2 linked regions of the Mus musculus genome follow. The protein of the gene in region 2 interacts with the protein of the main gene of each other region in a pairwise test. Links are inferred from orthologs where the notes say so. Each region holds a gene or a part of one and is shown on either strand. Other genes may lie near its edges. The genes, in order: Slc38a7 and Sar1a.

Region 1 (3,811 bases), on a different chromosome or scaffold from region 2:
GTATCTCTGGCTGGCTTGGTTCTCACTATGTAATGCGATGGCTCACTGCCATTGTCAATTTGATTGGATTTGGAATTGCCAAGGGTGGGTCTGTAAGATCATTTCCAGAGAGGTTTAATAGAGGAGGGGAGCCCCACCTTAAATAGGGCCCAAACAATTCCATGGGCTGAGGTCCCAGACTGACTAAGAAGAAATGATGGAGAAGGTAGGCTGAGAGTCCCTGTCACTACTTTGCTTCCTACCCAAGGACACATGTCCAAACTCCTCACACACTCCTGCCACTGGGACCAGCTGTGTCCTCAAACCATGAGTTGAGGACTCTTTTCCTTTTAAGCTGTTTCTTACAAAAAGTCACTGGCACAGCATCAGGGACTCCAAACCCCTAGCAACCTCACCTTAGCCTCTGAGTGTGGAGGCAACAACGTGTGCCAGTTCCCAGGAATCCCCGAAATTTCAAATGTTCAGGTCTCTATGTTAAGGCCCCTCTTTACCTCCCTGAAAGGCTGTTGGGCTCTCTGGCCCTGCTTTACCTGGCAGGTTTGACCTCCTCCATCTCTGATAGTTTGGCTTGAATGAGGCACAGCCCTAGAAAGAAAGACGGAATCCTGAGTATGGAAGAGGCAGGGATTCCCTCCCACAGCCCAGCCTCCCCAGCCAAGAGGCGGTGGTGGTGATGGAGAAAGGACTGTTTACCGGTGAGTCTGAAATCCAGGTCCCCAGCCTCAAGCTACGCCCAGCTAGACACCTGCCCTCTGCTCTCCCATGATAGGCCAGCGGCTAACAAGCACCGCTTGGGATATATTCAGGACTCAGAGCTAAGGGGCACAATGAATAGGGAATCAGGAATGGCTCATGCCATCTTGCCTACTCCAGAGCAGGCATGGCTCCCTTGCTCCATGTCCAGTGGGATGGGCTTTGAGGAGGCCCCGATACAGAAACAAACTGGGACCAGCAGAACTCATAGCCACGCAGACAGGGCAGGTTTCTGGGGATCTGCAGCTGACCTACGTCGGCTTGGGTCTCTTGACTCCAACCTTAAGGTGCCACGGCCAGGCTTCCTTCCCTCTGGACTGGAATAAGGTAGTCAGATCCTGAGAGTCAACAGTGTACACACTTGAATGAAGGGTTCAAATAGAGACCCTGGACCTGGGCCTATAGGGCTTCAAATGGATTGTCCATAGTTGAGCTTCTTAGCCGCTGGCCTAAATTCTCTAGCTCAGTGGCTCTCAACCTTCCTAATGCCGTGACCCTTTAAAATACAGATCCTTACATTGTGGTGACCGCCAATAAAAAAATCTTCATTGTTCCTTCATAACTGTAGTTTTGCTACTGTTATGAATCACAATGTAAATATCTGACCTGATGCAGGATATCTGATAGGTGACCCCTATGAAACGGCCATTCAACTCCAGGGTTGAGGCCCGCTGCTCTGACCTCACATCTCATCAGTAAAACAGAGATCACACCTTCTCTCTAGGAGTCAGCGCTGAGATGGCAGCACTGTAGCTGAGCCCATGTCAGTGAGCAACAGAGACTACTGCTCATCTTACTGGCAGGTTTTGAGTCCGTGGCTGAGCTATGTAGATCCTGCTGTGTGGTGGTGGGGGTGGGGGTGGTGGCGGCACCCGGGGTGTGTACCTGGGAAGATGAAGATGAAGCAGGCTGCCAGGCCTCCGATGACCGAGATGACCTTGCCAATGTCAGGGATAAAGAGCGCCAGTAGCAAGGTCAGCAGGAACCACACCAGCGTCTGCAGGACCCGGCGCCGGCGCTCCCGGCCCACATCCTCCTCCACGGGCATCCCCTTGTAGCGCAGCCACAGGCCTTCCACCACAGCCCTGCTCACATGAGGAGGGGCTCAGGGTGCTTTGTGCAGTGCACGGGGAGGAGCTCCTCAATGGGCAGAGTGTGGTCCCTGAGCCTGGGTCCTCATGTGTGACCAGCACTGTCCTTGGTGGCTATGGGCTGCAGGTAAGTTTATGAAAGGCTTGGCCTCTTCAAGTGAATATGGATACCAACCACTATGCCCTTTATAAAAGGAATCGTTTGGAGTATTCAAAGGGCTGGCTGGGTTCACATAAAAGCTCATTAAAGGATCTGGACTGGAGACCCTCACAGGGCTTACAGAATGTTCTGGAAACAACAGATCTGGCACGAGTATGGGGGAAGGGCATCCTGGACACATTCTTTTCTGTGGGCTTCAGTTTTCCCTGCTACAAAACAGGTTCCATACAAGGCCATGTATCGTGCTGGCTCCCAGGGGGCTCTGGAGAGGGTGGGGAAGGGGCTCACCGCCCACAGAAGTGCAAGATTGGATAGGAGGTGAGCACACTCAGGATGATGAAGGCTCGGGCAACGGCCACAGCCACGTCCTCTGAGGGGTAGGACCGGAGCACGTCGGGGTCCACAGCAGCTCCAAAGGTTAGGAAGCCACAGATGCCTGTAGGCAAAGACCAGGGACGGGGTGAGGGCGGGCAATCGCAGGAGGGTAAGTGGTGGACCGCAGCCTACTCCTGCTAGGAGCAATGTCATTCAGAAAGAATGCTGTAGCAGCCTGGGAGATGAGGCCTGGGCCTCAGAAAGAAAAGTCTGCCTTCGTAGATGTCCTTTGATGGTGGGCCCACCAGCCCCCACATTTCTCTGCACATGCCTTCTAACTTCTATACTAACCATTCCATCTGCTCAAACAGCCCCGTTGCTGCCTCGGGTCTCAGTTCAGTTGTCCCCTCCTCAGAGAATGTGGACTTGCCCATGCAGTCAGCCCCACCCCAGATACCTGCTTACCACCCTGTTCTAGTCCCCAATCACCTCTCTCTAAATTGCCCATCACCCCGGTCAGAACATGGGACCCCTGACAGAAGGGACTCTTGTGCTTCTTGCTGGTGCTTCAGATGCTGACACAGCACTCTCCGGGTAGCTCCTGTCCTCGTCCCATACCACAGGAGGGTGGGAACTCCCGGTCCATCTCTGACCTCTTGCCCAAATCCACGCAGCAGCCAGAGGTTTCTTTGCCTGGTCATTTCCCATCCAAGAAATGCATCCTCTTGGGCTGGGGAGATGGCTCAGCGGTTAAAAGCACTGACTGCTCTTCCAGAGGTCCTGAGTTCAATTCCCAGCAACCACATGGTGGCTCACAACTATCTGTAATGGCATCTGATGCCCTCTTCTGGTGTGTCTGAAAACAGCCAGGGTGTACTTATATACATGAAATAAATAAATCAATAAATCATTAAAAAAAAAAGGAAGAAAAAGAAATGTATCCTCCCAGACTCCTGGCAGCATCTACTGTCTTCCCCTTGGCTGCCCAGCCTCATAAGCACCAGTTTCTTACACCCCAGCTACAGACCTCCTCCCACATCTGCTCAGAAGCCCTGCACTTACAGTCAGTCTCTCCTTGGAATGCTCCTCCCCACCCAGCCCTTTACCATCTGTCTTATCCCTCGTGGGCCTCCTCAGGCACCCCATACTCAGAGAGAAGCCTTCTGGGAATGCCGCCCCTATTCAGTCCCGTTCCCTACTTCCTGGTTTCAGTGTCATGATGACACCTGCCCCCACCTAAAATTCCATGTTTTCATTATTACTTATACATAACTGTTTCTCCAAGACTGTCATCCCACCAGGGCTGGGGCCAGTTCCATGTGTCCCTGCAGCAACCCTACAATGGGAACACCTTCTGATAATCACTCAGCATCAGTTTAGGACCAATGAGCAGATGGAACACGCTCATCCTGATGCCTTGGGCAGCTCAACTCGAGTCAATACTCAAGTGTTCACTGAGTTAAGAGTACAGAGCTTCTCTAGGAAAGCTGGT
Region 2 (3,811 bases):
AACTGCTGAGCCATCTCCTCAGTCCCAATATATTCTTTAAAAAGATTGAAGCTAGATATGCTGGCAAACGCCTTCAATCCCAGCACCAGGGAGGAAGAGACCAGCAGATCTCTGGTTCGAAGCCAGCCTGCTCTACATAGGCCTTGTCTCAAAATAGTAGTATTTTTTTTCTTGATCCAAAAGTAAGTAAATATTAACATCAAATGGTGGCTAACAAGCATCTGTCAAACACCAGTTCCAGGGTATGCAGTACCACCCTCTGACATCCATGGACACCACATTATTCATGGTACAGTCATACGCAAGCAAAACACCCATACATAAAATAAAAAATAAAATATTAAAAGACTGCCTTTTCTAGCATCCTATCATTTCTTCATTTATTAGGTACTGGAAAAGAGATAAAGAGGGTAGGAGTATGGCTGAGAGAGCACTTACTTAGAACATACAAAGGCCTAAGCTCAAGGCCTTTTGTATCACTGGGAAGGAGGGAAGAAGGGAAGAGAGGAAAGAGGAAGGAAAGAACTAAGGAAAATGCCCCTGATAAAACATTTCCACTCAAGGGACCCTGTCTTAAAACACAAAAAAAAGAAAGAGAAAATGTAGGCATGGTTCAGTCACGTGGTCCCCGCCTCCTGCCCGCCTCCTGCCCCCGAGGGCTCTCTGCTTACCTTTCCTGTGGTCTGCCCGTACAGCCCAAATATTTCACGGAGTTTTTCTTCACTGATTGCATCTGTCCTGTCAATTTTGTTTCCCAAGATAAGAATTGGCACGTTGGATATTGTTTCATCAGTCATTAAAGCCTAGAGACAGGATTAAAATAACAGAGCCAAGTGAGCACTTACTAAGTGAAAGCCCATCACTTCCTAAGGCACCCTCGGCACTGCACCTGACAACGGGCTGCTTCATCTTCACATTAGGTCTGAGAGAGCACAGACTGAAAGGCCCTGGGCGCGTTAACAAACCTGGGTATAAATAGAACACAGCAGATGACTTATGTCACAAGGAACTGGACAGAAAGTACACAACAGCCTGTTCGGGGAAGCAGGACAACCCACACTTGAACAAAACCTTAGGTGGACCTGAAACTGCACTCCACAGGAAGGGCAAAACTCGGTGAGTGGAAGGAAAGACCACCACAGTGGCAGTGCAACCAAGTGAGACGAAAGCCACATACAGCGCCGCCTGACTGGATTAAGACATTTATACAGATGTGTAGCAACAGAGCAAATGTGACAGCAACTGACACCCACGTCATGGTGCCAGTCTGAAAACTGTAAGCTCCACTAGCTCCTAAAGACTGTGAACCCAAGGTCAGCTATCTTCACTTTCAGAACAGTGATTTGAAAACCAGTGCTCTGTGCAGTGCTCACCTAAGACATGAGCTGCTAAACTCAACTGAAGGGACTGTGCAAGATAGGTTCTGTGCAGAGCTGAAGTCAGACAGTAAAGCAGACACGAGGAGACAGAGCTGCTGCAGATTTCAGGACTGGGCGTCTGAGTCTCACAGACAGGAGAGCAAGGGGGAGCGAGCATTTTTACCCTGTAAGTGTTTACAGGTTTCCAGAGCATGTCCAGGATGGTGGAAAGGAACAATCCAGACAGCTTCCTTCTGGGAAGGACCATCTGGTAGGCAGCACTGTCCCCTCTTTTGAGGCTGGAGCTCAGCAGGTGTAGATGAGAGATCCACCTGGAGCCATTACCATGGAGGAAGCAGAGACCCTCAGGAATACCTCCATTTAGAACTAAGCAGAAGACCAAGTATCAGAGCTAACACTGGCTGGGCATGTGGTACGCTCTTGTAACCCCAGCATTTAGGAGACTAAGAAGACCAGGCTGGGCTACATACCAAGACCCTGTCTCAAAAAAAAGAAAAAAAAAAAGGAAAAAAAATTAATCTAGAGTATAAAATAGGGGACAGGGAGACAGCATTGGGGAGAAGAGCACCGGCTGCTCCTCCAGAGGACCCTGGTTCAATTCCTAGCACCCACATGGCAGCTCCTATCTATCTGTAATTGCGTGGGACCTGACACCCTCACAGAGACATACTTGCAGACAAAACACCAATGCATAAAAAAAGAAAGGAGAGCAGAGCTGGAGAGATGGCTCAGTGGTTAGGAGCACTGGCTGCTCTTCCGAAGGGCTGGATTCAATTCCAAGCACATACACGGCAGCTCACAACTGTCTGTAACTTCAGTTCCAAGGGACCTGACACCCTCACAGCAATGCTCATAAAATAAAATTAAATAAATTATTTAAAAAGAAAGAAGTTAGCCCCACACAAAATGAGACCTAAACATTTAAAACACACATTAAAAAACAAAAACTTGAGAGGGTTTCAAACTGCAAGAATAAAAGAAACTCACACATGAGAGAGAACAGCGCTGGAGAGATGGCTAAGTGATTAAGAGCACTTGCTCTTGTAAAGGACTGAGGCTCAGTTCTCACTCAGCACCCACATGGCAGTTCAGTAACTCCACTTCCGTGGGATACTACACCTTCTGGCCTCCACGAGCACTGGCATGCATGTGGGGCACACACAGACATGCATGCAACTACTCATACGCATAAACATTGAAGGGCGAAGGAATAGGCATTATAAGGCAACACTATACAAAGGAGGAAACCCAAAGTGAATAAAAACCGGAAGAGTGCTAGCAGACTATGCAGTCTGTCACATGACTCCATAGGAGACTGATTCAAAAACATAAAAAATCAGGATTGGAGAGACTGCTTGGTAGTCAAGAGTACTGTCTGGAGAGATGGCTCAGTGGTTAAGAGCAATGACTGCTTCCAGAGGTCCTGAGTTCAATTCCCCAGCTATCTCATGGTGGTACACAACTATCTTTAATGGGATCCGATGCCCTCTTCTGCTGTGTCTGATGAAGCTACAATGTACTCATATACATAAAATAAATAAAATCTTTTTTAAAAAGAGAGAGAGAGAACTGGCTGTTCTTTCAGGTTCTGAGTTCAATTCCCAGCAACCACATGGAGGCTCACAACCATCTATAACTGAAGTCCCATAGGATCTGATGCCCTCTTCTGGTACAGGCAGACAAAACTCCCACATTCATAAAATACATGAATAAATAAATCTGCTTTAAAAAAGTATAAAACCTCTCAACTCTTGCAGAGTTTCCCTATGCCAAGGCTACAGAAAGAGCAACCACAATGAGGGAACAGCAGTCCTACCAACAAGGCTGGGGCACTGGGCAGCTGAGGAGCGCTGAGCATCTGGGCCATGCAGGTACTGGTGCACCACAAGAAGTATAAAACTCAGTTACTCAACTGCAAGCTGAACGTCCTCAGGCACTGAGAAGCTAAATCTCACTGGGCTGGAGATAGCCCAGTGGTTGGTTAAGAGCACTGGCCGCTCTTACTCCAGATCTATTCCAGTACCCACATGATGGTTCACAACAGTTTATTATCTGTTAGCCCCATTTCCAGGAAATACGCTGTCCTCTGGCCTCTTCAGGCACTAGGCAAGCACACAGCACCCCATAGAGTCAGTCAAAACACTTCTACACATAAAATAAAATAAAATAAAATAAAATAAAATAAGAACATCTTTAAAAAACCAAACCAGGGGCTGGTGAGACGGCTCAGCAGGTAAGAACACCCGACTGCTCTTCCGAAGGTCCTGAGTTCAAATCCCAACAACCACATGGTGGCTCACAACCATCCGTAATGAGATCTGACGCCCTCTTCTGGTGTGTTTGAAGACAGCTACAGTGTACTTACATAGAATAAATAAATAAATCTTTAAAAATACAAACAAACAAACAAAAAAAAAACAGGACTGGAGAGA

What was found.
Region 1: the proteins of Sar1a (region 2) and Slc38a7 interact in binary tests that used the Homo sapiens proteins (3 or more experiments, as listed by UniProt). The link is inferred for Mus musculus from reciprocal best matches to the Homo sapiens genes SAR1A and SLC38A7.

The regions. Positions count from the first base shown.
Region 1 is NC_000074.6:95,839,884-95,843,694, forward strand, and holds part of Slc38a7 (putative sodium-coupled neutral amino acid transporter 7), read right to left. Parts: intron 2,441-3,811; coding exon 2,293-2,440; intron 1,966-2,292; coding exon of another isoform or gene 1,959-1,965; exon of another isoform or gene 1,845-1,958; intron 1,839-1,844; coding exon 1,639-1,838; intron 586-1,638; coding exon 531-585; intron 1-530. UniProt on the Homo sapiens protein: Symporter that selectively cotransports sodium ions and amino acids, such as L-glutamine and L-asparagine from the lysosome into the cytoplasm and may participates in mTORC1 activation. The transport activity requires an acidic lysosomal lumen.
Region 2 is NC_000076.6:61,686,766-61,690,576, reverse strand, and holds part of Sar1a (GTP-binding protein SAR1a), read right to left. Parts: intron 804-3,811; coding exon 672-803; intron 1-671. UniProt on the Homo sapiens protein: Small GTPase that cycles between an active GTP-bound and an inactive GDP-bound state and mainly functions in vesicle-mediated endoplasmic reticulum (ER) to Golgi transport.